Linked DNA regions of Diceros bicornis minor. The protein of the gene in region 1 interacts with the protein of each later gene in a pairwise test. Links are inferred from orthologs where the notes say so. Each region holds a gene or a part of one and is shown in the gene's direction. Other genes may lie near its edges.

Region 1 (15,352 bases):
GTGCACCCGGGATCTGAACCCCGGGCAGCCGCAGCGGAGCGCGCACACTTAACCACTACGCCGCCAGGCCAGCCCCCACTTTGGGATTTTTGACTGATTTGTGTCACTTTTACCCCCAAGATCTTAAGGACAGGTGAGAACAGAGACATTTGCCATTGCTGATCGGAAACCAATAACGGAAACAGACATCTCAAAAGTCACCCTTCCAGGGTCCTTAAAAATGGTGCAACGCTTCTCCATTTGCTCCTGTCACTCTGGGTGAGGTTTTAAGAAGGGTGACGGTGCTGACGAGAGCTGACTCTACGGAATCCCCCATTTTCTTCTTCCTGTTGTCCTGGGGTCTCTCTGGCAAGGCTTACTGACTTTTTACCCCCAACACCCCCAGCAGTCTGTGCAGGAACAGGAAGAAGGAAGGAAGGGAGATGAAGCTCGAGTCTGCCACGAGTTAGGTTGCCTGCTTACATCCATTACTCACTCAAATGGCTGAGACTACCAGATGGCATCGACATGCTGGTGATTACCCGAGCCCCTAGCACATCACGATGTACACCCACTCAATACCCCTCATGGTCTTTGATGCGGGAGAGAATTCTGCACCGGAAGTCACAAGACCTCGTTTGTGGCCGCACTCATGCGGCCACCAGCCCTGTGGGCGACACGGTACTCCAGGTGAGGAGTGAGGGGCGGGAACGAAGCGCTCTGAATGCCCTCAGCACCGCCACACCGGCATTCAGGGGAGATACTCACCCTGTGGATCGGTGTGGAGGTGGGGAAGGGACTGGGCTGGCTGCACTTCTTTTTGGGGGCCGACTGCCCCTCAGGTGAGCTGGTAGGAGAGGAAGAGCTCAGGGACGAATGACTAAGGACAGAGTCTTCCTCGGGGCCCGACTCCAGCATCTCGCTCTCCGAGGGCACACCCTGGTCAGGAGGAGTGGTAGGAGGAGACTTGGCTCCAGGAGGCTTCGCGGCCAGGATATCCTGCAGGACCACCACAGGCACCTTCCCTTTGAACAGGATGCCCCCGGCTTCACTCCAGCCATCCTGGTCCTTCTCGGGGCACATTCTGGGACCGCCTGTCAGTTTGGGGCAGCTCTGGGGTGGGCCTTTCCGCACGTCTGCACTCCTCTCTGTGGCCCCGGAGCCAGCATGCTCCTCCTCTGTCTTGCACGGAGTGTCTGAAAGGGTCTCGGGAAATGCCAACTCATCCTCCGGACCGGCCTTGGACAGCCCCCTCTCATCTCCGGCTTCTTCTCTGACCCCATTTACAGCCTCCCCAGAGGGGGAGGCTACAGAATTTAGTTCACCGTGGGCCACAGTGCTGTCTGGTTGGTCGTTTGAGTCCTCCGTCAAATCAATGATGACCGTGCTCTGGCCAATATTGGTTTTGTCTCTACTTCTTAAAAAGTAATCTAAGGGACCCTTCCCATTGACAAGTTTTGGCCTAAAATCTATCTCAGAACCCATATGACAGTCACTCTCCAAGAGGTCCAAAGAGGTTTCTAAATCGGGGACTTGACTTTGCACAGGAGCAGTCTGGGAGCTTCTCGTGTCCTCCAACCCGTCGTCCAATTTCTCCTTTGGGACAAGATTCAGGCGCTTGAATGGGAGACGAGCTGAAAGGGAGAGAAGAGGCCGTCTTTTTAGTGAAAGTGTGAAGAGCCACAATCAAGGCCTTAATATTCCATATGCTTGAACATTATCGACCTTGCTGGGCTGGGGGAGGATTTTAAAGTTTAAAAAGGGGTTATCATTTCATTCTGCACTTTTTCAACATCCTAACTCAAAACAAACAAAAAACTGACAAGCTTTTTTTTTTTTTTTTTTTTTTTTTTTTTTTTTTGTGAGGAGATCAGCCCTGAGCTAACATCCGCCAATCTTCCTCTTTTTTTTTTTTTTTTTTTTTTTTTTTTTTTTTTTTTTTCCGCTGAGGAAGACGGCCCCGGGCTAACATCTGTGCCCATCTTCCTCCACTTTATATGGGACGCCGCCACAGCATGGCTTACCAAGCAGTGCGTCGGTGCGCGCCCGGGATCCGAACCAGCGAACCCCGGGCCGCCGCAGCGGAGCGCGCGCACTTAACCGCTTGCGCCACCGGGCCGGCCCCTGACAAGCTTTTATAGCAGGGATGTTGCCAGAATTTCGAGGTATTTTTTGATCTGTTCAAGATCCAGTTCCAATTCCAAATTCATTTATCATGGGTGGAAATTCCGTTTGAAGATAACTGCATCTGGTTCGGAAGAGCAAGAGAGACAAATCCATTTGCGGAAAGAGCTCTCTCTGCCCCTAGCATCCCAGGCTGTTAGCTTTTCTTGTCAATCAGACAACCATCCTCCCATAGCCTGCCGGGCTTCTGGCTGGTTCTAGGTGATACACAGCCACACCTCAGGAGTGAGGAAAATCAGATGGGGGAACTTCCCAAGGAGCCCACGTTTACTTACATGCCAAAACATCTCATTAACTTTTCATAATGTAATAGACTAAACAAATAAACCTGTTCTGAATCAGCTTATAAAACAGTCATGCCCTTGGTTCTACTGTTTGCCCCAAATCCTTTAACCTCAGAAGACTGCTGTCCTTCACACGTCTCCTGCCAACACCAAACTTGCTATCAGCTGTCATAGGACAAGGCAAACTGCTACAGGGGAACCAGACAATCAAGTTCTAAAAGCCAGAAGCCATAGTTTTTTATACAGTCAGCCACTAATGTGGCCTAAGGGTCAACGCGCTGCCCTTTTCACACAAAAGGATTTGGAGCCACTTATCTTCCTGTACAACAGTGGCTCAACTCAGTGCCTGCCAGGCAACATCTGACAATGTCTACAGACATTACTGGTTGTCACGACTTGGCAGAGGAGGCTAGGCATGCTGCTGAACTCTCTACAGTACACAGGACGAGAAATGACAAAATGTCAACAGTGCTGAAGCAGAGAAACCCCTCTGTATAGGCTGCACCCTCTGGATTTGCTCCTGGGAACGGGAGTTAATAAAATGGGTTTCCCAGCTTCTGACTGTAAGGTGCAACTGTCTTGCTCCCCTCCAGCCCCTGGATGCTTCTGCAGAGGACCCCAACACATGGCCTCTGCTCAAGGGGAATTAAAAATCTAATTGAGAAGACAATGAAGGATATAAATCAGGAACGAATATTGAACCCATTCCCAGAAAGTTACCTTGTATTAACTTCTTGACTGGTAAAGCTGGTCTGTCTTTGCAATCCATGGCTGTGAACGAGAGTCAAAAAGACGAGTTATTAAGTGTTGGAAATAACAAAACAGCAAATACATATGTAGCACCTATTCTGTACAAAGTGGCTGTCCAGCGGGGGCGATTTTGTCAATCCTCCCCCCCACCAGGAACGTTTGGCAATGTCTAGGGACATTTTGTGTTGTTATGTCTGGGAGGAGGGTGCTACTCGCATCCAGTGGGCAGAGGACAGGGAGACTGCTACGTATCCTACGATGCACGGGACAGCCCCCACAACAGAGAATTCTCTGGCTCAGATGGTGACAGGTTGAGAAATTCTGCCCTGGACACTGTCACTTCTTGTATTATTTTCCTTGGCCACTTATTGCTCTGAAACTTATGCTGTTTGTTATGTCTCCCCCCAACAGAACACCAGCTCTGTGACAGCAAGGGGACTGGCTCCACACTGCCCCTGGAGCACCTCACTCAGGATTGGCACATGGTGGAAATCAATGACTACAGCACAGGAGCAGCGAAAAGAGGAAGGAGTAAAACTAGAGATGAGAGAAAGCACCACGTTACCCATTTCACCATTAATATGACCCCAAAACTTCCTCCTCCAATCCAACCTCTCCCGCCACCAAATCTGTAAAATTAGCATAGGGTTTATCTTTTTTTAAAATAGAGTTTATGAAGGTAATACAATTTAAAGCATTTTGAGTTTGCCCAGCCGGAGCTGAAGGGCTGTCAAGAAATGATAAAGGAGAATGTTTTCCTGCACGAAAAAAATCTCAAGAAAAACACCTAATACTATCAAAGCTGAGGCAGAAATGACTGTAAATAGAATCCAGCCTTTGGATAAATATTTTTAAATGGTTAGAATAAGTTTAGAAGCTCACACCTGTTAGGAGATCTGGCTTGGAAAAATCTAGTTGAGTTATTTTGGGCAATCTACATATTTTTCCTTAAAAGATACACACAAGTGAGTATTTTTTAAAAGTAGATCAGGGCTTTCTAAAAAACTCAACTATCCATAGAGGAACTGCCTTTCTCCCTTCCAAGCTTGGAATATAAGACAGGTACCCAGGGGCTGACCCCGAGGTGGAGCGGTTAAGTTCTCGGGTTCCGCTTTGGTGGCCCGGGGTTCCTGGATCCTGGGCGCAGACCTACTCACCGCCCATCAAGGCATGCTAAGGCGGCGTCTCATATAGAAGAGCCACAACTCTACAACTATGATACACAACTATGTACTGAGGCTTTGGGGAGAAAAAAGAGGAAGACTGGCAACAGATGTTAGCACAGGGTCAATCTTCCTCAAAAAAAAAAGAAAGGTACCCAGAAGACACATTTCCTTTCCACCCATTTCAAAACATCATTCTCGAATTTTCAGTTAGCAAAGACATGAATTTTCCCCCCTCAACTGAGAGATACACAGTCTTTAGCCACTTAAATTTATTTTTAGGACGGCCACAAGGATCTTTTTGGTGTGGCGCTGAAACACTAGCTTTGATGCAAGTGGGAGAGAAGTAACCTAGGCCCAGAAACAGCCTCGGGTCGACATAAAAAGGGACTTCACCGAGGGATCCAGACTGTTCAGAAGTACACATACAATTAACAATCACTGGTGTATAAACTTACCACTGCCCTTAATTCTGAGATACCTCCCTCCTAATTTTTCTTTGGCTTTAAAACATTCTTCCCTTTCATGATAGTATGTTCATAGCAAGTGGTGCTTTTTAAATTAAACATTCTGGGCCGGCCCCGTGGCTTGGTGGTTAAGTGTGCGCGCTCCGATGCTCGTGGCCCGGGTTCGGATCCCGGGCGCGCACGGAGGCACCACTTCTCCGTCCATCCTGAGGCCGCGTCCCACATACAGCAACTAGAGGGATGTGCAGCTATGACATACAACTATCTACTGGGGCTTTGGGGGGAAAAAATAAATAAATAAAATCTTTAAAAAAAAAAAAAAAACATTCTGGGGCCAGCCCCATGGCTTAGCGGTTAAGTGCCCACGCTCCACTGCTGGCGGCCCTGGGTTCGGATCCCGGGCGCGCACCGATGCACCGCTTGGCCATGCTGAGGCCGCGTCCCATACAGCAACTAGAGGGATGTGCAACTATGACATCCAACTATCTACTGGGGCTTTGGGGGTAAAAGAAAATAAATAAAATAAAAAAAATAAATTAATTAAACATCCTCACTGGGTCAAATGACTGTCTCTGACAATCAGTCCCGACTTTATTTACGTGAATTTTAAGTCTCTGTGAAATCCCCAAATCTGGAAACAATTAGAGCAGTGGTTCTCAACTAGCGGGTGACTCTGCCTCCCAGGGGCCCCTTGGCAATGCCTGGACCTTTGGGTTGTCACAACTGGGCAAGAGGGGTTGCTAGGGGGATCTAATGGATGGAGGCCAGGTATGCTGCTCCAGGCCACCCTACAGTGCGCAGGACGGCCCCAAATGTCAACAGTGCTGAGGGTGAGAACCCCTGGACTAGACTAATTGATGTCCCTGCCACCCCTTAATTCATTCCACCAACACATCTTTTTCGGCCACCTACTGTGTGCCAAGCATTGTGCCAAGGGCTGGGGACAAAATGGGAGTCAAGCAGGGGAGAGGGGTAGTCGGGCCGTCCTTGGTTCGCCTCCCACGTTGTCGGGGCCTGCTGGCTGCTAGGAAGCCCCCTCCCAAGCCACAGGGAGGAGGACAGGTCACCTTGCATACCGGGAGGATCAAGAACCCGGGAGTCCCGGCTCCCTGACGATCCCCCCACCCAGCCTCTTCCCTCGGCCTGCCCTGACCCGCAGACCCAGCCCTTGGGTCCCCGGGCCCGTGTGAGCCCGGGCCTCAGTTTCCCCACCCGGCCAGAGGGTCGCTGCGGGGCCCAACTTGCTCAGGGGACCCAAACGCACTCGGTTACCTGCCAAGCCGGCCCCTTCGCCTCCTCGGGCCTCAGTTTCCCCTCCCAGCCCCCACCGACCCGTCACCGCACAGGGCCCTGCAAGGACGTACTGCCGCAAAAGCGCCGGAAAGAAATGGTCGCGGCCACAACAATAACGTCAAGGAGCGCGCCCTCCGGGTCGCAAGGCCCTTCCCCGGGATTGCACGGCCCCACGGCCCGAACGCCCGGCGCGGTGGCGCGGGCCCGGGGCCGGGAGGCCCGTCCGCCCTCAACCGCCGCCTCGGCCCGTCCGCCCCCAACCGCCGCCTCGGCCCGCAGAGGCCGCGCGCCGCGCCCCCCCTTCCCCTCACCGCGGGCCCGAACCGACCTGCCGCCGCTGCCCTGGCGCCCGGCGCCCCGCACTCCGGCTCCTCCAGCATCTCTCCGGCGGCGGCTCGAGCTCCCCTCAGGCGGCGGAGGCGCAGGCTCCGCTCAGGCGGCCGCTGCTGCTCGCCCTCCCGCCCGCACCGCTGCTGCCGCGGCCGCCGCGCTCGTATTTGGCGGGAACCGCGGCGACCCCCGCAGCCCGCGCGCCGATTGGGCGAGGCCGCATCACGTGACGGCCCGCCTCGGGAACTGGGGAGCTCCGGGAGCATCCTCGCGAGAGCCGAGGCTTCCATTCCTCCCGTGGCTCCCCTATTGATATTCCCGCGGAGGGACGGGGCTTCCTCTTGGCTGCCTGTCATTGGCGAAGAGGAGGCGCCCTGCGATTGGGGGAGGGAGGTGTCAAGCTGAGAGCTCGGCACTGTGATTGGCTGAGCGCGTGGGATAGGTCGGTAGGAAGAGGGCGGGTCAGGCTCTTACGTCATGACGAGACGTTTTACGTAGGGCGACGGGTGACAACCTGAAGCTGCGATTTAGAGGAAGCCTGAAGTTTTGAGTTTATCCTAATTGGACGTCGGCTGAATACACCAACAGCAATTAAAATTGTAAATTGCTTTTATATGACAATACAAATAAACTCTAGGCATCGCTTCAGAAGTATTTGACATGCGGTAAATATATTCAGGGGGAATGAATGAAATGAATGTTTCCGATTTAATCCTCAGGATTTTTATACACTGTTTCCTTGCCTGGAAAACTCTTTCCGAAGCTCTTTTCTTTGGCTAATTTCTACCTAACTTTCAGATCTTAAAGTTAGACCTCGGAGAAACCTTTCCTCCATTACCCCCAACAAAATGAAGTTCCTACAACGCTGCTCTTTTTCTCGAAGAAATTACAGCTTATGTTTATTTATTACCGTGTTATTTGATTCATGCCGTAATTTCTGTTTTTGTCATTAGCTCCATGAGGGCAGGAGTCATTCATCACTGTATCCCTGAGACCTGTCAGTGACTGATACATTAGTAGGTGACAATAAATATTTGAGTGATTGCATAAATATCATTTGATTGGACTTTGTGATCATATAGGTTAAAAGGCTCACACAGAACAGAGACCTTCAGAGTAGGTTTTCTCCAGCAGCAATTTAATCCAGCAGAGCAGAAGTGAGAAGACCGAAATTTAGCCCAAGTTTAGAATTCTATTGATTGTATAGATCAGATAGTTAAATCAGTAGAATTGGTTGGAAGTAATGTGAAGAAATAGGGAATGTGGGCAAGACTTTGTGCAAGTCACGTCTTACTCAAGGCCTCAGTTTCCCCGTACGAACCATGAGGTGTTTTCCCTCCCTTCTCTGACATTCTGGCGTTCTGCAATGGTTTAGACCAGTGACCATCAGAATCACATGGAGAGTTTTTTCAAACTATTTGTAATGGCCCCATCAGGATCTTTGAGAGGGAGGCTAGGGCATGCATATGCCGAAACAATCCTCTGATCTAGTCCAGGACCTTCTGTTGAGGCATTTGGAAACTTCCAGCAAACTTCCGCTTCAGACAATCACCCAAATGTCAGAGATTTCAGCACTGAAGTTGCAAGCCCCTTAGCTCTAGTCACTTTCTTGTTCCTCTTTTTGGGTTCACATACTCATTCCAATTCATTGTTAATTTCCAATTCATTCAATACAATAACAATTGATTAAAAAATCAAGATCGGTAAGCATGCATCAATCTGGGAAGTCTTCCTAGAGGGGGTGATATTCCAAGCAGAGTCCTATTTTATGTGCAAAGGATGGAGCGAAAGATTGGGGAAGACTGTGCAAGAGAAGAACAACGTTAGCAAAGGCCCATAGGCTCAGGGATCACGGATTATGGAAGATGAAGAGAGCCAAAGTCAGAAGGGTTGACAAGGCCAAGTTATGCAAAGTTTGTAGGCTGTGTTAGGAAGTTGGGAGTGTATTCTGAGGGCAGTAGGTGGACTTTAAAAACAGGAGACTAATGTGATCTGAATTGTTATAGAAGCATCCTTCTGGCTGCCTTGTAGGGGGTGAATCGGAGGGGAGAATCTAAAGGTGGGCACACCAGAGAGGAGGCTGGTGGAATGGTCTGCTTAGGGCAGGGAGGGCAATGGAGGCAGTGGAAAGGAGGTAGAAGCGACGCCCTGATGTCTGACTTGGGAAACTGAATGGATGAACACGGGGCGGGGTTGCCGGTAGGTGGGAGGGACTAAAGAAAAAAGTAGCATAGAGGAATTGGGTACAGCTGAGATTAGCAGACAGGTGTCTGGAGACTTGTAAGCACAGCCTCCCAACCTCTCCAGAAAGGTTTAAGCGCCTTTCCTAACACGTTGGGGCCACCTCCGGGACTCCAGAGGTCGATGCAGCCGCCACAGCCCCTCTAGGCTCGCCCGGTCCACTCGCTGGCGGGGGCGGCCCCCCTCCCCGCTCCCGACGGCAGGCGAAGTGCGCGTGCGCTCTCCGGCCGGCAGGGGGCGCGCGTGCGCAGACGGGGCCGGGGCGCGCGCGGGCCGGCACCGGAAGTGTGCAGTTGCCATGTAATATCCTGGCCGCGCGGGCGCGCGAGAGGCTGAGGCGGCGCCGGGGCGGGCGCGGAGCTGGCGAGAGGGCGGAGGAGGCGGCGCTGACCGTGGCCGCGGAGGCGCGCGGGGGGTTGGCGGCGCCCGGAAGCCTGTCGCTTGAGCGGTCCCTCCGCTTCGCGGGGTCCGGGCGGGAGGCCCGACGGCGGGAGGCAGCATGTCGGTGGCGGGGCTGAAGAAGCAGTTCTACAAGGCGAGCCAGGTGAGCGGAGGCCGAGGCGGGGGCCCCGGGCGGCCCGGAGTGGGGGGCCAGGCCCGGCCCTGGCTCGGGAGGCGGCCGAGGGGGCTGCGTTGGCACGTGTCCCCCGCGGGGTGGGGAGAGCCCAGGAGGGGCAGGGGCTGCGGGCGAGGTGGCTCGGGCCCTGGCCGCCCTGTGTGCTCCAGCCTCCTCGGGAGGGGTGGGCAGACCCCTGGGAGGAGCAGAGATGCACCCAGGGGGTGACCCAGGGCGGTGATCCCTCTCCTCCTTTCCTCCCCTCTAACAGGGCAGGGGTAGGGAGGGAGAGAAGGGGAAGAACAGTCCCGAGGCTGTCGACACAGAACTCTTGCCAGAGAGCGCAGAGGAAGGGAACATTTGTGTCTAAAGCAGTTCTTTAAAACAAAAGGCAAAAAATACCCTTTCGATGGACCCGGTGCAAAGTTGAAAGGTTAGAGTGAAAAGTCAGTTTCCCACTCCAGTTCCTCTCCCCACGATCAGGACTGTCACCCGCGACTTAGGTCTCTTTTTAAGGATACGTGTACACCTCTCCTTTAAAAACACACATATAGTGGTAGCAGAGTCGACACCGTCCTGTGGACTTTGTGTTTTTCGTTAAATGTGTCTTGGAGATCACAGTAGAGCTGGAATTCTCCACCTGGGGTCATTCTCTGTGGGGGGACGTCCTGGGCACTGTGGGGGGTTGAGCAGCATCTCTGGCCCCCACCCGCTCGATGCTGGGAGCACCCTTAGCCGTGACACCCACAAATGTCTCAGTGGCTGCCAGATTTCCCTGGGGGAACCCCCTCCCTCCCCCCGCCCCCTCCCCCGGAACTACTGGACTAAAGCATGCTCCTAGAGCTTCTGGGATCTTTTTAATGAGTACGTGGTATTACATTTCACCAAGTGTATCATAATTTATTTACCTAGTTGGTTTATCGATGGATGTGTATCATAATGTATTTAACCGGTCCATCAATGGATGTTTAAGTTGTTTCCAGCAGTTTTCTGCTACAAACAACACTGCAGTGAATATCTTTGCTCACAGGTGGGATTGGATTTATAAGAGAAATTCCCAGAAGTGGAATGCTGAATCCAAGAATATCTGCATTTTATGTGTGACAGAGAGTATAGGTGTTTTGGAAGATTCGGGCCCAGTGGCTCATGAATCTGGCGAACGCTATGGCTCCACTCTCCAGAAAACCAGGCAGATGCAAAATTCGGTTTATAATTTCAGATCCCAGAAGCCCCAGATTCCTTGAACCCTGTTGGTCCCTGCATCCCAGGTTAAGAACTGTAGGTGTGGAGTTTGTGTGGATACACTCCACGGAGGAACGAGCGATGATTTTCGGAGTTCTTTGGGCCGTGTTGACAAGCCAAACTCTACCCACAATTTGGAGCGATCCAGTGGGAGGGAAGAGAAGTAAGTCCCCAGCAACACACAGCTGATGCCCTTCGGCCCTTAAGGGAAAAAGTAACGACCCTCTTGGTTGTCTAGGGCTAAAGATATTTGGGTCTATATCTAGACCCCAGATGGTGGCTAAACCCTGAAGGAAGAGGGACGTAATCCAGAGGCATTTAGGATTGTTGCTGAGGGTACAGCCCTTTGCCCCAGCAGGATGGAATTCAGTGATCTGGCCCTGGGTTAGCCTCTGCCCAGCAGGCTTCAGACCCCCACGTGGTTGGCTGGAGTGCCTTGGTGCTGCTCACTGTCTTGGCCCCTGTGTAGTCCGGCCTGCACAGGAACAATGTCCCCGTAGGTCTTGGAAGAATTCCTGGACCACTTGTACCATCCTGTAGACGGGTTTCCGGAAGCTCTCCCCTCCCCACCCCAGCTATCAGGCCCCATGCTGGTGGCCCACACCGTCCCCAGCAGGCACACCCAGCTAAAGGAACCAGCCGGGCCTCTCAGGCCAGCTGCCAGAGTGTTCTCTCTCGGGGAACCAGGATGGCCCGCATTCAGATCTGTGAAAAGCGCCTTGAAACCTGGAAAGCACAGCGCAGTGTAAGCTGGTGGTTCAGATCAATTTCTTATCTCCACATTCTGAGGCCCAGCCCCAGAGAATTGCTCTGATGGCCACATCCTTCTCTGAGAGCGGTTGTCTCGGCCTCCCCATCAACTCTTGTGTTGAGTAGTTCTCTCAAGACTCACCCTGGCTGTGTTCCTTTCTCTTCTGCAACAGTTTCCACGGGCATCCAGCAGCTCCTTTGTTTATCTGGACGTGTCCATCTCTGTGTGCGTTTCTTTTCTCGTTCTTAGGAACACCTCTTACATCCTCTTCTGCGCCCTCGGAATAGAGTCGTCTGTTCAAGAGTAACATATCTCGTTATGTACTAATAATTAGTATGTGTTGAGTTTCCACCATGTGAACAGGCAATGTGCTTTAAACCAGTTGGTCTCAACTGGTCTCTCCTCTGGCCTGAGCGTCAATGCACTCCCCTTTTCCCACAAAAGGACTTGGGGACTTTTATTGTCCTGTAGAACAGCAGTTCTCAACCAGGGCCAGTTCTGCCCTCCAGGTGACAGTGGCAGTATCTGGAGACATTTTGCTTGTCACAACTTGGTGGATTGCTACTGGTATCTAGTGGGTGGCAGCCAGGGGCACTGCTCAGCATCCTTCAGTGCACAGGGCAGCCCCCCCAGAACCACAAATTACCTGGCCCGCAGTGCTAGTAGTTCCGAGGTTGAGAAACTCTGCTTTAAGGTTTGAGAAAAGTGAGGCTAATTACACCAAAACAAAACAACAAGAAAAAATCTCTCCTGGGCCATTCTTGTGGTAGCTGCCTGCTTCTCCTAGTTTTCAAAACACACATACCCAGGTGTACACAGATGGATGCATACGTAAAATGCAGCATACGGACCCCAAGCCCCCCCTCTAAGCCCTTAGGAGAACCTCAGAGTGTCCTGGCCCCTGGTATTTTTAAGAAGGTGTAATCTTGAGCCAGTGCCTCTCCACCAGGGCTTACTAACCTTTCCCTCTGTCCTCTCCACCCCCTGCACCCCCGCCCCCGGGACATTTGGCAATGTCTGAGACGGTTTTTGGTTGTCATAACCTGGGGAGAGGATGCTACTGGCATCGAGTGGGTGGAGGCCAGGGGTGGTTGCTAAACATCCTACAATGCACAGGACAGCCCTCCCCACAACAAAGAATTTCCTGGTCCCAAATGTCAGCAGTGCTGAGGTTGAGAAACCCCGCTTTGAAACAGGTTCTTGATTTCAGAGGCTTGTGACAATGTCCTTTCTAAATTGAGAAATGGAAGCCAGGTGGAGGTGCGTGCGAGAGGCAGCCCGGAATAGAGACATCTCTTTCTAGCAGATGAGCCTGCGACCTTAACAAAACGGTTCTCATCTCACAGGTGATGCTGGGAACCAACCAGTTACCAGTGTCTGCCATGTACTGGCAAATTCTACCCCGGTTCGTCTCTGGTCGACTAACTTTCTTGTTTTAAATCAGTTTGGGCTTGAGTGGGAAGGGTGTGAGTTTTTACTTCTTATTATGAACTGGCCACTGACTGGCTGAGGGCCTGGGCTGAGGAAAGTTGACGAATCTGGAGGAAAACAGTGAAAGAAATAGGCGCCTGTCTGGGGCCCGTGGTTTGGTCCCCTCCATCCTGCCTGTGTGACGCCCACACCCTCCATAGCCGTCTGGTATTTATGCACGTCTAGAGTTGGGGGGATGCTTTTATGAGTATTTCTGGGGAACCAAGGAGGGTAAAAGGAACCCTGCTGGTAAGACCCAGGCTCAGAAGTTCACTTCCCGTTGTGGTGTGTGTTCGGGTGACGTTAATTTCCAGACCTAAACTGCTGGCTGGTTTCCTGATAATTCTCGTGTGTGGAGATTGGAGAGTGTAACTAGGGACGGAGCTGGCAGCGGCCTGGAATGCTGGCCTGACCTTTTTTTCTTTTTTTTTCGCCTGAAAGGAGGGAGAGAGTTTGAACTGAAAGATTGGTTCTGTCTGAGCTAGGAGGAAAATTCACGCCCGCCATATCCCATAGCGTTGAAGTTTGCTGGATGCTCGGAGGCCCTGGGTGTGTGCTGGGGAGGCAAGATCGAACTTCCTGTGAGAGGCGGGGGGTGGGTGGGTGCGGGCTGAGGGACCCAGAACCCCGACCTGTTAGAGTAAGCAGTCACTGGGGGCGGTGGCTGGCGTTTTGGAACGTCCCCAGATTCTGCTTGCTCTGACCTATTTTTTAAACCTCGTTTTGTGGAATCATGCTTTTCATTTCCTAGCAAAGTGCTTGTTAAGTAATAACAAAGTAATAACTTAACAAAGTGCTGTTAAGTAATAAACGTGGAACGATCCTAAGAAACAAAAATCTGGAACTAGTAACCCCTTCGCCTCAGCATGAATATGAGTGTGGGACCCATGTGCTGGGAAGGACAGGTGACAGGCAAGGTGTGGAGAGAGGGGTGTGCCAGCCCCAGGCCCTTGAGCTCGGCAGCTGGGGGCTGACCCCCGGAAGACCATCTACTTGGGGCAGCCGACGTGGGAAGGGCCATTGTGATGTCCACGTGTGATGGGAACTGGGTTAAGTCCCCCTCATATAGGAAGCCACTTTGCTGACTCGTTCTATAAGAAGACCCTTGAACTAGTAACATCCTTGCAGGCCCCTGGGCAGAGGTGTTCCCATCCTGCTCCATCAGTGGACGGGCTGGATCGCTCTCCTGACTTGCCATCACTAGCTTGTCTGACTTGCCATCACTAGCTTGTCGGGTGGAGTGACCAGTCCGGTGTGTTAGGCTGGACTGTGGAGCTACAAGAAGTAGTTTGAGACTGCCCTTCTCCAAAGGACCCGGGGCCTCCTTAACCCCGGCACTCCCAGGCCTGTCTGCAAACCGGGTCAGCCTGACCGCCTGGGCAGGACGCGCTGTGCATAATCACCGAGGCTCTCCGTCACCAGCAGCATCCTGCATCTTCTTGTTGTTGACACACCAGGACTGAGGGGCCACCGTACTCTGACTCTGCTGCCCCGTGACTATGGTACATTAGGCCGCAAGTTCACCTCTGACTCACAGTCCTGTGTTTATTAAAGACCAGTCGAGCGCCGTGTGAGCTAATCGCCTTGTTGATCTGGGTGTGTTTTAAGGCAAAGCTGTAGGATACTTAATTATATTCCATGTGCCACTTAATAACAGCCTGTGTGGTTAGGCGTTTCACAGTATCTCCCTGTTCAGTTGCAGAAATTGGGGCGTGTCACGCTTTTGAGGCCCAGAACTGTCAAAGACTTAGCAAGCGAACAGAGAAAATCGTGCTATTACCCACCCGCCTGTCCACCCAGCCTTCCCTTCGGGAAACCCACATCTGAGCGCACAGGACACTGGGGGCCTGCGCTGGTTTGCCCTTCAGCTGTCGGTGTGTGCGTCTGTTCACTTTCTTCCTCAGAGGAAGAACTTCAGGTCCTGGCCAGACCCGCTGAGGCCTGCCATTTGCCTCTGGCACGTGTGTCCCACTGCCTTTGATCCAGGGACATGGGCTAGTTAGTTCTGCCCTGGCCCCTATCTCAGCCCTTCTCCTTCTCTTCAGTTGTTACCAGTATTTTGAAAGTGATCCAGTCTGGGGAATCGTCGTTTTTTAATTTGGGGCGTGCAGCCAGCTTCCTCTGTAGGATTTCAGAGGCCCCTGCATTTCGGGGGCTGCAGTAGGAGGAACGGCAAATTGTCTTCTCTTTCTGATTTCCAGGGCGGGCGAGGTTTCTGAGCCTTCTGGAGGGTTCCATGTGGAAGCTGCCAAGCCACAGGCGTTTATCGCCCCGGGGGGTTAGGAACACCTATTGAGGCGGCTTCACCCCTGTGCTCAAACCCCATGGCTTTTTAATGCGCCTGGTGGAGTGTTAGGGTCGGCTTTTCCTGTTCTTTTTCAAAGCTGTCCCTGGAGAGCTGGGTGGAAGATTGTGTGAGGCTGGGGCAGCAGCTGGTCGCTCTCTTCTCTCCTCGCTCTCTGTCCCTCTCTCCTTTCACAAGGCTGGATTTGGCAGCCTCTTCTGAGCGCTGCAGTTTGGGGGCGTTTCTACTCGTTTCCCATTAAGCAGTAACCAGGGCTCTGCGAACACAGGCTCCCAGAGGACGGCATGGTCTTCCTTTTCCACTCTGCTCCTAGAAAAACCTGCTGACTGGGCCCCTG
Region 2 (15,309 bases), on another chromosome or scaffold:
CATTTCTGTGTGCCCTTCTCCCCGCTATGGTGTGGGTTCAATCATCAGCACCCGTGGGCCATTTTTGGAAGATGATCGTTAGCTACCGGAAGTGCATTGCCTGCGTATATAGACTGCTGGAAAAGTATGGAGTTTATGCATCCTCTTTCCTTCCCTCAGCCTTTCCCAGTGAAGGTAAGGTGTATGAAATTCTTGCCTTAATCATGCAACAGTGAGACATAACTTACACTCCACTTGTTCTGCAGGATCAGGCTGACCTCTGCCTGAGCTCCCACCCTTGCCTGGGTTCCCCTCCTCCCTGTGCTGCTTTACTCACTCCTCTTCCAGTCTCCTCCAAAAGCACTTCTTTACTGAATCCATTGCACAGGAATCCATATCTCAGGGGCTGCCTCTGGGGAACCAGATTGAAGACAAGGAATTTGATAGTATTACTCATGTCTTCCATATTGTCGCTGACTTTCTTTGTCATTCTTTTATCAATTATTGAGAGGGTGGTGATGAGATCTCTGATTCTAATTGTGGATTTCTCTATTTCTCCTTACATTCTATTAATTTTACATGACTTATTTTTAAAATTCTGTTATAAAGTGCATAAACATTTAGGAATTTTAAGTCCTTTTGATAAATTGACCCTTTTATCATTATGAAATAACTCTCTTTACCCCTGATAACTCTTTTTGCCATTGAAACCTATTTTGTGTGATATTAAAATAGCCCCTCAGGCTTTCTCTTGATTACTTTTATCATGTTATACCTATTTACATCCTCCTACTTTTAACATATTTGTCTTTACATTGAAAGAAAGCTCTGTGTAGACAGTGTATAGCTAGGTCTTGCTCTTTATCAAATCTGATAATCCTCGCCTTTTCAATGAGAATTTTAGGCAATTTATATATAATGTGATTATTGCTAAAATTGGATTTAATTCTACCATCTCTCTGTTTTCTATTTGTTCCACGTGTCCTTTGTTTCTTTTTTCTTCTTTGCATGACTTCTTTTGAATTAATTGTGTATCTTTTATGATTCTTTTATAGCTCTTTTGTTGGCTTTCTAGCTATAACTCCTTCTGTCTTGTTTATTGTGATTTTTTTAGGGTGTATAGTACATACATTTTTTTCACATATTATACCACTCCAAGTGGAGTATAAGGACTTCAGAATATTATATTTGACATTTCCATCTCATGACCTTTGTGTTATGATTGTCATATCTTTTATTTTTACATATAATATAAACACTAAAATACACTTTTACAATTTTTGCTTTAAACAACTATTATAATTTAAAACATTTTAAAAGTAAATTTTGTATTTATCCACATATTTCTCCTTTCTGGCCATTTTCATTCTTCATGTTGACGCAGATTTCCAACTGGCATCAATTTCTTCTGCCTGAAAGACTTCCTTTCCCATTTCCTATTGTGTATTTCCTTCTACTATCAATTTTTTTCAGCTTTTTCTGTATCTGAAAAAGTCTATATTTACAACACCAAAGACATGATCCATGAAAGAAATAATTAACAACCTGAACTTCACTGAAATTAAAAACTTCTGCTCTGTGAAAGACAAAATCAAGAGAATTAGAACACAAGCCATAGACTGTGAGAAAATATTTCTAAAACACACACTGATCAAGCACAGTTATCCAAAACATACAAAGAATTCTTAAAAATAAACAGTAAGAAAACAAGCAATCCAATTAAAAAATAGGCCAAAGACCTTAAGAGACATCTCATCAAAGAAAATATACAAATTGTAAATAAGCACATGAAAAGATCCTACACATCATATGTCATCAGGCAAATGCAAATTAAAACAACAATAATGAGATACCACTACACATCCATTAGAATGGCCAAAATCCTGAACACTGACAACACCAAATGCTGGTGAGGACGTGGAACCACAGGAATTCTCATTCATTGCTGGTGGGAATGCAAAATGGTACAGCCACTTGGGAAGACAGTTTGGTGGTTTCTTACAAAACTAAACATACACTTACCATAGGACCCAGCGATCATGCTCCTTGATATTTACCCAAAGGAGCTAAAAACTTAAGTCCACACAAAAACCTGCAAACAAATGTTTATGGCAGTTTTATTCACAATTGCCAAAACTTGGAAGCAACCAACATGTCCTTCAGTAGGTGAATGGATAAATAATCTATGGTACATCCAGACAATGGAGCATTATTTAGTGCTAGAAAGAAATGAGATATCAAGCCATAAAAATACATGGGGGAACATTGAATGTATATTACTAAGAGAAAGGAGCCAATCTAAGAGGCTACAGGTATGTTACTATATGTAATAACTATCTGATATTCTGGAAAAGGCAAAACTATCGAGACAATGAAAAGATCAATGGTTTTCAGTGGTGGAGGTATGGAGAAGAGATGACTAGGCAGAGCATTGAGGATTTTTAGGGCAGTGAAAATACTTTGTATGATATTAAAATGATGGATATATGTCATTATACATTTGTCCAAACCCATAGAATGTAGAACACCAAGAGTGAACTGTAATGTAAACTATAGACTCTGGGTGACTATGATGTGCCAATGTAGGTTGGTATAAAATGTGCCATTCTGGTGAGTGATGTTGAAAATGGGGGAGGCTATGCATGTGTTGGGGGAGAGGGTACATGGGAAATATCTACTCCTGTCTCAATTTTGTTGTAAACCTAAAACGGCTCTAAAAAAATTGTCTTAAAAAATAAATAAAAAATTTTTAAAAGTCTATATTTTACCTTGATTTTTGAAAGGCATTTTTACTGCATATAGAATTTTAGGTTAACAGTGGTTGTTTTTTTTCCTTTTGTCTTTTAGTAGCTTAAAGATGTTGTTCTATGCTCTTCTTGCTTATACTGTTTCCATGAGAAGTCTGTTACCACTCTTATCTTTGTTTCTCTGTGTGTCATGTGTCTTTTTGCTGATTATTTTGGAGATTTTCTCCTTATCACTGCTTTTAAGAAATTTGATGATGATGTGCGTTGGCGTGGGTTTCTTCACGTTTCCAATTCCTGGAGTTTATTAAATTTATCATCTCTGCGAGTATAATTTAGATAAAATTTGGGAATCTTTCAGCCATTATTTCTTCACAAACGTTTTCTCTCTCTCTCTCTTCCTTCTGAGACTCTATTTATGAACATATTAAAACACTTGAGGTTATCCCACTGCTCACTATGCTATTAATTTTCTTCAGTCTTTTTCTTCTGTGCCTTTAATTTTAGTTTCTATTTCTATGTCTTCATGTTAACTAATCTTTTCTTCTGCAGGATCTAATCTGTTGTTAATTCTCTGCAGAGTATTTTTCATCTCAGACATTGTAGTTTCCATATCTAGAAATTTAATTTTGGTCTTTTTTACATGACATGCGCAATCTTACTCTATTTTTTGAAATATGGAATGCATTTATAATAACTGTCAATGTTCTTTCTACTAACACAATCATCTATATCATTTCTTGGTCTGTTTATAGTGGTTGATTATTATCCTTGTTATGTTTCATATTTCCTGCTTCTTTACATACCTGGTAATTTTTAATTTAATGCTAGATATTGTGAACCTTATCTTATTGGGTGCTGGACATTTTTGTACTCCTTAATATTCTTGAGCATGTTCTCTGATTCAGTTCAGTTAACTGGAAATGGTTTAAGTATTCTGAGGTTTTTTTAAAAAGCTGTGTAAGGTAGGACCAGAGTAGCCATTTGTCTAAAGTTGACTTTGCCTCAGAACTGAGACAATACTTTTTTGAGTACTCTATCCAGTGCTCCATTAAGTAGGAGATTTTCCACTCTAGATGGTGCAAACATGAACTATTCCTGTCCCTGTATGAATTCCTGGGATTGTTTCTCTGCTCCTTTGGAATGTTTCTTCCCTGGCCTCAGATAAGTCACCTACCTTTGTGTGCTGATAAGCACTCATCTGAATATTTAAGGGGGACCCTCTGCTCACTTTCAAAGCTTTCTCTATATGCAGCTCTTTCCATTCTAGTACTCTGTGAACTCTAGCTCCTTTGGTTCCCTTCAAATTCCCAGGTTCGCCACCTCAGTTCATGGAGACTGCTACCCTCCACTGCGGTCTCCCTCTCTTGTACTCTGGAAACTCTCTCCAAACTGAGAAAATCATAGGGCTCGTGCCATTTCTTTCCCATCTCTAGAAGATCACTATCCTGCATTGCCTGATGTTTAATGTCTGAAAACCAGTGTTTCATATAGTTTGGGATTTAGTTGTTTCAGACAGGCAGGTAAATCCAGTCCTGGTTATTCTAGTTTGGGCAGAAGTCAAGTGTTGCTGTTTTTGATGACAGGGGAAACTTGTATATGTTCATAGAGAGGGAAAGATTGAGTGTAAAGTGGAAATTAAAAATTGAAGAGAGAGAAGGGAAAATTAATGGATCAATTTCATAAAGGAATTACAAAGGGGAAATAATGAAAAGCTGAGATGGCTCAACTTTGGATAGGGAAAGAAACACTTCTTATGAAACAGGAAGAAAGGAGGAGAGTAATGGTGATGAAGCAGAGAAATTTAGATACAGAGTTCATTTGGTCAGCTGATATTACTTGAACTCCTATTATATCATGTGAATAAATCTCAGCTACTTCCTTCAGTGTGGGAGAGGGCATGAAGGAGGAGGAGAGTGAAGTGTGATTCCCAGCATAGCTCTCCCCCAACATCACCCTCTTTCCAAATTCTCATTCCTGAGCTTTCCATATTCTTGATAGAAGTGAAGGGTTTATAGATTATCAAATGGGTTCTCAAGCCTACTTTAAAACTTCTAGTGGTCTAATTCACAGCTCACATTGGTATCTGATATCTCTCATGTCTTGGTGCCTCCACTGAACTTCTCAATTTAATATCCTGTTATACAACACTAGCTAAGGATATGAGACAAATGAAAATATAATTTCAATTTAGTGAAGTAAGCATATCAGGTTATAGAAACACACTGGCTGGGAGGGAGCCCTATGGCCAGAAATGCTGCCATAAAGAATTGCCCTTATGATCCAAAGGAATTATCCAGGAAATATATATGACATAGAGGAGTGGTAAGAAGAAAGGGTGTTCCATTAGAGGGAGGAGAATGTGTAAAGGTCCGGAGGCAGAGGAGTTATTGGAACTGTAGGTGGATTAACAGGACTGGTGAAGTCAGAGAGCTCATTACAAGCTGCACCCCAGAAATTCCTTGAATGCATTCCAGGGAGTTTTGAATTAAGTAGAGGAGTGGATGTGATCAATTTTGTGTTTAGAAATAATTCTGATAGCAGTGTAGAGAATACAGGGAGGGAAACGAGACTGTTAGAGTATTTGTTGTGAGAAGGAATAGTATCCCGTGACAGAGTGGGAATGGAGAGAAGTGGATATATCCTAGAGAATACGATCGTAGAACTGCCATCAAAACAACTAACTAAATATGTGGCAGGAGAAGAGCTACAAAGGGAAACACCCAGATGTTTGTCTTGTATAACTGGATTGATGGTCCTGTTTTCAATGAAACAAGTATTACTGGTTAGATATCCTAAAACTCCTCGTAAAGTAAGAGGAGAATGATGGAGAGTTACATGAATAGGAGATAGACATCATAGAGAATGTTAGCATTCCAGGGAATGGCAGTAGCAAAATTCCAAGTAATAAGGTAGATCCAGATGTGATTTCACCTCATTGAAGGTAGCAAGTGGTTGTGAGGCAAGATTGTTGACAGTATCATGAATATGAACAATGACATTCCAAAAAATGGGATCCCAAGGAAGTCTGTGTGCAAGGTAAAAGTCATGGTGGAAGTCAGTAAACCATGGAAACAGGATGAGGAAAGAGCAGAGAAGTGAAACTGTTAAGAGCTCACAGTCAGTTGTGTGAAGGAAGAGACAGAGTGGTGGGGCGGGGGTGGGGATGAATGCTTTTCTTCCTTTGGTTCCAGAAGTGTTACCTTCATTAGAAGCAAACTGGTATTATCAAGAAAAATAAAAGGTTTGGGTAGTGAGGAAAACGATTCTAGGGAGGAATTCATTTTCAAGCAAATGATACATTACAATAATAGAAGAGGCCTCAACAACAATCTTTTTCATCCCACTGGTCATTGTGCAACCAGGTAGAAGAGGGAAAGCAAGGATGGTCAGGGATGGTCAGGGATATACGGCATAATGAGGAGGGTGCTGGAAGGCACACAGTGAAAAGTTTTCCCCGTGGTGGCAATTTTTTAAACAAGCACAACTGAGGCTCTTGTGAGTCATTAGCACTTCTGGAAACTCCAAAGTCATTTTAACTTTGTTCACTGAAATTTTGGGGGCCCATCATAGTTGCTGAGCATCTCCATGACGAATTTTTTGAAGAAATCTTCCCTTTGAAAGTTCTTTACGTGCTCACTGAGAAATGTTAGGCATAAAATAAAACAGACAGAAAGATCACTCTATACCAATAGGATTCTGAACACAGAGAGGGTTCCTTGATGAAATAAATCAGTGCAGAAAACCTTAAATTTCTTTTAAGTAAATACCACACATTAAATATCAGAAAGTGATGACTAAGAGGTGGAGAAGATAGGCGGTATATACAAAAGGTTTCACCCACACCCAATTTTGTGGTTTCTACCCTGATGCTGCCACCACACCTATGAGTTTCGCTTGTTAAAATGATAAAGACGTAAAATGACTAAAATCTGCTGACCAGTGCATAGAGCTAAATACAGTCCTCAAAGGCTAAACCTGACAGACAAGGTAAGTATTCAATTTGGAGAATGTCTGATATTGTTAGCTAATACTGTTTCCAACCTGGTCTACATGTGTATGCTGGTGTGTGTAGTTTATCTTCAGCTGATCTTTGAGAAAATTAATCTCATCTCCTTTATTTCACTTATAAAATGTTGACATTAAAACCAAAGATAAAATGGGGATAAATTGGGGCAGAGAATGCAAACTATACATAGAATCCCCCCTTTTTTCCCTTAATCCTTTTAAGTGATTAAAAGACAACAGCAAAGACAACTAAGTTTCAGACAGGTGAAATCAATAAAAGTTTTATGTGGAAAATATAACTTATGCAACATCATGTGTACACAGGAGTGTGGTATGTGCATGTGAACAAATTAGAAAAACAGCAATCATCATATTAGCTACCATTCGAGGAGCGGTTACTATGTGCTAAATTCTTTGCACCTTATATCATGTAATTCGGGCATGCATTCGAGGTAGGTATAATCCATGCTCATGCCCATTTCACAGATGAGCACACCACGGGCGCACAAAGCAGCCAGTTACCTGCCAGGCATCCATCGCCAATGCGCGATGCTGTCCTAGTGGTGTTTTAAAAATCCCACTAGAGTCCCATTTAAAGCAGATCCACTCCACACCAGGTGTGACTGGTGACCTGGATTTTATCTTCTGAGTCACAGCTCGCAGACCTGTCTTCCAGTTAAATTGAGTAAAGTTGAGTAGGGGAGCTGTGAGGGTTGGGGGAAGGACAGGTGGAAGAGAACAGGTGGAAACTAAGAGGTGGGACAAAAGGAGCAAATAAAAAGCAAGACAGCGGGGTCCGGCGTTGAGAGGCTCGGGGAGCGCTGGGCGCTGGCCCGAAGAGGGGCAAGGAAAGCCGAGCAGGACGCACCGCGCCAGGTGGCAGCCGCACCTGTGCACGTGACCGGCGCGGGCGCCAGGGCGGAGGCGCGCTCACCTGGGCCACGTGACGGGGCGGGGCCCCGCGAGGCCCCGGGCAGCGCGGCCACGCCCCCTCCCGCGCGGCGCGCCGGGACCCCACGGACCCGAGCGCCGGCGGCGGCGGCGGGAGCCCGGGAGGCGGAGGCGGGCGGCCGGAGGTGGTGGCGCGCGGAGACGCAGCAGCGGCAGCGGCAGCGGCAGCGGCAGCATGTCGGCCGGCGGAGCGGCAGTCCCGCCGCCCCCGAACCCCGCCGTGTCCTTCCCGGCGCCCCGGGTCACCCTGCCCTCCGGCCCCGGCATCCTGCGGACCTCCTCGGGCGCCTTCGTCTGCCTGGAGATTGTAAGTGGGGCGGCCTCGGCGAGGGTCGCGGCTGGGGAGCGAGGAGTGGCAGCGGCGGCATCCTTGTCCCCCGGGCTGTCTCCCTCTGCGCACGCCCCCGGCTCCCTTCCCTTCGACGTGGCCTTCACCTGCTCCCCTCCCGGGGTCCTTTCGATGCCCAGCGCAGCCCGAACCTGGGCGGCGGCGCAGCTGCCCGGGCCCTCTCGCCTGGCACTTGTTACACTGGCACCTGCTTCCCCACTGGCGACAGAAATGGCCACAAGAGAGCGAGCAGGCGGTCCGGTGGGGCCGAGGATTGGGGACTTTGAGAGGAGAAGGGTGTTCGGGCTTGGGAGCGCCGTCAGAGACGCCCGGCGGCTCGGCCCGGGGCCGCGCTTGGCTAGAGCCGGAGCAGGCGCTCGCGGCCTCGCCTGTTGCTAACCTGCCATTTTGTTGGGCGGTGCAAAGGTGTAGCCGATGACTGGGTGACCGGGAGGCTGCCACCATAGGAAGAGCGGGGGCGGGAGGTACCAGGAAGAGGAGGAGGAAGGCTGAAGACTTTGGCATTTTTTTTCCCCATGCCATTATTAGTGCCCTTCGGATTGGGAAGAGGAGTAGGGCTCAGGAGACAAGGCAGGGGAAAAGGTGAAGTATGTACCGTGCCCTTGGCAGTTTCTATTCAAGTGGGCGTGAGAATGGGGGGAGAAAGGTACAAACGTGGCTGTCAAGTTCCCCGCTGCCTGCCTGCCTGCCTGCCTTCTTTCCTGGGCTGCTTCTGGAACTCCAACCTTCTGGCACACTTTGTTGGGCCGAGGTGAAGATAAGGTCACCTGGTCTGTCGTGCAACCTTCTTGGGCTAGAGACTTCAGCTTTTTAAGAGGAATTTTATGGAGTTGGAAGCTTTTGAAGCTAGTTGTGGACAAGGGGAAAAATGTGCAAATATAAATTGGGCAACCTGAGGTTGCATCATGCTCTGAGAATGGCAAATACAGGGTGAAATGTTAGCGAGTCAGTGCCTTTCCTGCAGGCTGGTTTTGTTTGCTCGGTTTGGGGTGTTCATATCTTGCCCCTCACCCCCTCCTTTGAGTTTGCATAACCTGGATTTGAGTCGCTTCGGTTTCACTTTTGTGCTTGTGGAACTGGAACGCCTGTGAACATTGGTTTTCTGTTCTACTATGCTAAGGGTAGCTCAGGCACCCTAAGTTAAGTTGAGCTCAGATTTGAATCTGAAAAAGGAGACAAGTGAGTTACAGGCTATGGCATCAGTAATCGGATCGTGACTGCAAGGCTAGAGGAGGCTGGTTTGAGTCTGAGCCCAGTTCAGAAGCATCTGAATGCTTGGGATGAGGCACCGGCATCCACGTGGGAAGAGCGGGGAGAGGATGGCCTTGGGCCCGCTGCACTGCTGTGGGAGGGAAACACGTTTGGAACAGTAAGAGCGGGGAAGAAAGATTTTATAGATGCTGGGCTACGTTACTTCCGTGTTCACCAAACTCCATTTGTTTGCATACTTCTTTTAGAAGTTTTTGCCATATCCCCATTCCACCTGTACTAGAATTTACAGAATGTTCATTTTAATATATTCACTTTCTACACTTCAGGAACGTACCGTTGCCTCATCCTAAGCAATAATATATATGAATTCTCAAATTTGATATGCTGGTTATATTTTTTCTGATATTCAAATGTATTTATATATATATATATATACATATGTATATATGTAAAGATAACGTATATGTCTATATCGAACCATATAGGTATATATATGTAAAGAAGGTTTATCCATGTGCCATCAAAGCATATACCATCTCAAGACCCACCTGCAGTCATGTGACACCTTAGGAAAGACTGCCTAATTTTGAGGAATAAAAGTAGAAGGTGATTTATTCTGTTTCTTCTCCCCCACCCCCAAAGCTCTTTAGCCCAGTTGTTAGTTCTCAACTCTTGCTGTACTTAATTACTTGGGCAGCTTTTAAAAATACTGTTGCCAGCTCAGACTAATTAAATTAGAATCTCTGGGGGAGTACCCAGAGTCGGCTAGGTTTTTTTAAAAGCTCCCTGGAGGTTCTAATATACAGTCATGGCTGAGAACTACCAAGGGAGGCCTTTATCACGGCTCTGTGGACAAGACAGCTCTTCTCTTGCAAATGTGGATTCTCTCTCTCTGCTAGAATTTCTACCACTCCCCATTCTAGGAGTAATTCCAGACTCATGGAAGAATCCAGTCTTTTCCTCTTATCTCTTCATTTCCTCTGGCTTCTTACCCCTGAAACATGTCTAGGAACCATGTCTAGATAGAACAGCATGACTTCCAAAAGACATTACAGTCTACTTTTCACTTTTTATGGCCAAACATCTTGATAGGTGTAAATCTTAGTCCTCCATTGCCTCTTTTACTTGAGTATCAATCTCCCTCCTCCCCAACCCACTCCCCAAAAATAAAAGGATCAAAATATTCCAATGAAACTAGTGACCTTAGAGAAACAAGAGACCACTTTGGAGCTAAACTATAGCTCCTTCTTGGCTCCCATCCTTCCAGATCACTTAGAGATATTGGATTATATGCTTTAAGAGAGCAGAGGTCAAGACCACTTTGGTACCCCACTATCTAGAATGCCTATACTGAGCAGACACACAGATAGGAGCTAAGTAAACACTTTTGATGTACCTTTTCTCCCAGCTTTCTTAATTTCCCTGTAATTTTCTCATTCCTTTAAAGTGTACATCTCCATGGCTCCTCTTCGGAAGTGTCTCCCCTGCAAATTAAATGTGCGAATTCTCCAGGAGCAGTTCTAAACTCTGGGTGATCTGCTTTCTGGGCACTGATTATTTTAGCCTTTGCCATTGTTTCTGGATATCCCCAAACTCCTCCTTAATTTTGACCTCTTATCCAGATCCATTTGTCTTCATGATTTCTCTATTTATGTCCTGTTGCAGTCTAGAACTTAACACATGAAAACTGCATCTGACAAAGATGAGCCATCAATAGTTGACTAAGCTAATGAGACCATGATCTTGGAGTTCAGGTCTCACACTAACCAGTAGGTTTGCTCAAAGAATTTGCTCCCAGTCCCCCTTGTTATACCCCATTCTCAATCTCTCAGGTGTAAGCCATTTGTCTGGGAGATAATTCAAAATGTACAAATAGTGCCAGCCTAACAGCACCAGGTAAAACAATTTATAGCACTGGCTTCATGGGTGGAGAATATTGCAGCCAGTGTGGTGCGGTTTCCTGAGATAGCTGTGTTCCACTCCTAGATACCTAAGTCATCAGCGCCTCGGTTTTTGGATTCAGCTGGACTTAACCAATGCATGCTTGCCATGAAGAGTTTAATACTAAGTTAGTTTTGCAAAGTGAAGCCTTTTAGTTTAGTATGGAAGACATCACCTTCAAAAGTTATCATTTTCAAAATCTCACAACATTTCCTGAATTAATGCTTTCTACGTCATTCATCAGGTGTTTATTGAATACCTACTGTGTACAAGGCACTCTTCTGTGAACAAAGACGTTTAGATCCTTCCTTACCTGAAAGAGCTTATAACCTAGTTGAGAGGATATGCACAAAAATAACTACCATTCAGGCAAGAACGACATGGTATGGAAAGTGAACCACAGCTAAAGCATTTTCCATTTTCTATAAGAAAATAACATTGGAGCGCTTGTACTATTGGTCTGAACAAGATATTTCGGGTCCCTGTTCTCAATGAGCTTATCTTGTGTAATGCATAAGAAAGATTGGACGTAATAGTATTAAACATGGAAAAGAATAAAGGTCATTATTGAATTCAGTGTGTTTCACAGTTTCAGTGTTTAGGAAACTGTCTACATTGCCCAAGATATTCATCCACATATCCCTTTATGGGGGATATCTAGGACTCTTATTCTCATGCTTCTAACTTTGGTGTTTTGGGTGCCACAATAATTTTCATTTATTCAACAAATAATTAAGAACCCGCTATGCATCAGGTCTTATTTTATGCCCTGGGAATAAGATAATTAACATAACTCCTGCCCTTGGGCCTGCCCCGTGGCTTAGCGGTTAAGTGCGTGCCCTCTGCTACTGGCGGCCCGGGTTCAGAACCCTGGGCGCATACCGACACACCGCTTCTCCGGCCGTGCTGAGGCCGTGTCCCACATACAGCAACTAGAAGGGTGTGCAACTATGACATACAACTATCTACTGGGGCTTTGGGGAAAAAAAAAGGAGGAGGATTGGCAACAGATGTTAGCGCAGAGCTGGTCTTCCTCAGCAAAAAAAAAAAAAAAAGAGGAGGATTAGCATGGATGTTAGCTCAGGGCCGATCGTCCTCACAAAAAAAAAAAAAAAACAACATAACTCCTGCCCTTAAAAGAAATTCCTGTACAGTGAAGTATAAAGTTAAGAAGAATTACAATGCTGTGTTTGAAGTGGTAAAATTGGTTTATGAAAAGTACTATTGAAAACCAGGGTAGGGTACATTTGACCACTGAGGAGGCTAGAACAGGCAGCTTTAATGGGATGGTGACAGATGAGTTTAGCCTTAGATGATGAGTAGACATTCAACAGACAGAAAAAATGGGAAAGAGAATTCCAGGCAGAAACAAGGGCATGTGCAAACTTCAGAGACGAGAAAGAGCATGGCATGAAGGAGATTCTGGCAGTTGTTAGGTTTTTTCTTTTTCTTTTTTTCTTTTTTTTTACATGAGTTGTGGGAAGGTGGCAGAAGAAGGAGAAACAGCAGGTAAGTTTCAAGTTATGATTTGCTGAGAAATGATAGGCCAAGGCATAGAATTTATTCTGTCTGTGGTAGGGAGCTGCTGAAGGACAGGGGTAAACTTGATCAGACTTGTGTTTTAGAAATCTTTGAGCAGTGAAATTTGGTTATAAACCAGAGAGATTGGAAGCAGGGAGACCAGTTAAGGGGCTTATGGCAGTAGTTTGGATATCTCATCATCCGTCAGTGATGAGAACCTGAACTAGGACAAAGGAAAGAAGCAGAGAGGAAGAACAGATGTGACATTTGACGTGTCCTGAAATGATACTAGACCAAACTTAAATAGAAGATGTAACTCAGAGGAATTATGCCAGAAAAACCAATGTTGATGAGAGGAGGATGGGGAGGGAGGGGCTGTGAAGCAGGCATGTGCAGTCATGCAGATACATTTATGGAAGGGATTTCAGGTTATTTTCAACCCAAAGTTTTGATTTTAGACAGACTAATGCATAAATGTTCAGATGTATAGAGTTTTATTTTCTTGCCCAGAAAACAGATTTTGGTTGCAAAGGGAAGTTGTGTGTTTGCAGTGCTGAAGAGGGGTTACCCATGGCTATGTTTCCCTCTCTAAAAGGGTTTTAATTCTGTGAGATTTTTCCTTTGCCCCTGGGTTAAAAACCTCCATCCATGTGAAAAGACTTTAAAACTTCTTAAGAGAAAATAAACTGATGCCCCTGCCAATGATTTTCAGCAATCATTTGCCCTGACTGGCAGCCCTGTAAGAAATATGAAAACTGAAATTTGGAAAACTTTAAATCAAGTTCCTATACACCTTGACCTTGAGTTCCAAAGGCAAAGGTGAGGGAGAGGGGATTTGTTTTATGGAGCCCTCTAGAAATGTCATATCTGGTAGTAGAAGCTGTGAACGTGGCGTATCTGCATTGATGTGTCTTATTAGAAAAGACTGCATAATGACCAAGACAGGAACCGGGCTGGCATACCCAATATCATGCATGTGAAGTACTTAACAAATGCTGCTGGATTGTCCTGTAGGACAAACAGAACAGCGTGTGAGAATATTTTAGAGAAACTGGCTAGAGTGAGACAGGCAGCTTGGGAGCAGATGTCCTCGTAGGTCTTGCCTAACTTGAAATGTCATGATTCTTCTCATCTACGGTTTGACCTGAAGTTCCTGTGTCCTATTTTATATGAAAAGGGCCATGTCCTTTCATCGTCACCATATATGACATTCTTAACTTTTGGATAATAGCTTTCAAAAGGAGGGAGGTAAAAAGAAAGAAAAGAGGCAGTGAGTTGTAGAGTTCTTGCTGATGTCAAGGCATTGGCATGCATGAACATTTTTAACCTAGGTGATAACTAGTTACCTATAAAATGAAAAGAAGATTTTAAAAATTAAGGAAAATTATAAATAAGAATAAAAAGAGACCAGAACATATTTCTTCCCTGTAATATGTGCTTTGCATTTTAGAGTTAGCATCAGCTATTTAAGAAACTGAAATGGCAGTTGGGGTCAGATGGGGAGGAAGAAAGTGTAACTCCTTACAGCATCCTCAAACATTTTTTTGTGTGTGTATAAGGAAGATCAGCCCTGAGCTAACATCCGTTGCCAATCCTCCTCTTTTCGGCTGAGGAAGATTGGCCCTGGACTAACATCCATGCCCATCTTCCTCTAATTTATATGGGACGCTGCCACAGTGTGGCCTTATAAGCAGTGCATAGGTCTGCGTCCAGGATCTGAACCTGTGAACCCCGGGTCGCTGAAGCGGAGAGCACAAACTTAACCACTATGACCCTGGGCCGGCCTTCCTCAAAAATTTTAAAGCTGTCGAATTTTAGATTTAAAATGTAAATCTAAAAAGCAAAACTTCTTTTGCATTAGTATATGTTGTACATAGCCCTCTTACTAATATATGTCATCTCTCATTGCTTCCCAGAATGTGTCTTGTTTTCCCTTCCTTGATTTAAAAAAAACAAAACACCTTGCCAAATTGTGCCTCTAACTCAGAACTGTACCAGGGCTAGTCCAGGACCAGTTTGGATGGAAGTCAGCATGGTGAGAGGACAGATGGGGATTAATGGAGGAGAGCAGGAGGGGGTGGGATAAGGCATAAGATAAACACTACCCTGGTCAAAAGTTCCAGTGGCAATTACAATAGAAGAGGTAAATTGAACAAATTTAGGGCCCTAAGAAGATTGAAAATGGGGTGTCTTGAGCTAGACAGGCAAAAGGTGCCAACTTCCTCATAACTTTCCACCCTAGCCTCCTGAGATCTTGTACTAGATGGTGGGTGTTGCCAATAATAACTTGAAAATTGAGAAGTACATGTTCCTGCTTCAGTAGTCTTCATGCCTATTTTTGAACACCCACCATGTACCAGGGAATGAGCTGAGCTCCAGACAGCAGTCTGTTTCTAGCATCCCAAGCTGCACTTCTGAAGCATTTTCTTCTAGAACCATTCATTACACAGACCGGTTGGTTTCTGTTCATTTCAAGGAGGAACGCAATTGAACATCTTCTGTAGAAAGCACTGTCCTGGTTTCTGAGCATACAGAGATGTTGAAGGCAGTGCCAGACTCAGACCTCACAGTCGAGTGGGCAGAACAGGCATGTGAACCCATGAT

What was found.
Region 2: the proteins of SH3GL1 (region 1) and MAL2 interact in binary tests that used the Homo sapiens proteins (3 or more experiments, as listed by UniProt). The two-hybrid records come from large-scale screens. The link is inferred for Diceros bicornis minor from reciprocal best matches to the Homo sapiens genes SH3GL1 and MAL2.

The regions. Positions count from the first base shown.
Region 1 is NW_026691553.1:3,314,463-3,329,814, reverse strand, and holds the start of SH3GL1 (endophilin-A2), read left to right. Parts: upstream 1-9,055; 5' UTR 9,056-9,190; coding exon 9,191-9,235; intron 9,236-15,352. Other genes in the region: CHAF1A (chromatin assembly factor 1 subunit A), read right to left, coding at 748-1,613, 3,168-3,218, 6,449-6,500. UniProt on the Homo sapiens protein: Implicated in endocytosis. May recruit other proteins to membranes with high curvature.
Region 2 is NC_080760.1:35,419,368-35,434,676, forward strand, and holds the start of MAL2 (protein MAL2), read left to right. Parts: upstream 1-7,843; 5' UTR 7,844-7,857; coding exon 7,858-7,989; intron 7,990-15,309. UniProt on the Homo sapiens protein: Member of the machinery of polarized transport. Required for the indirect transcytotic route at the step of the egress of the transcytosing cargo from perinuclear endosomes in order for it to travel to the apical surface via a raft-dependent pathway.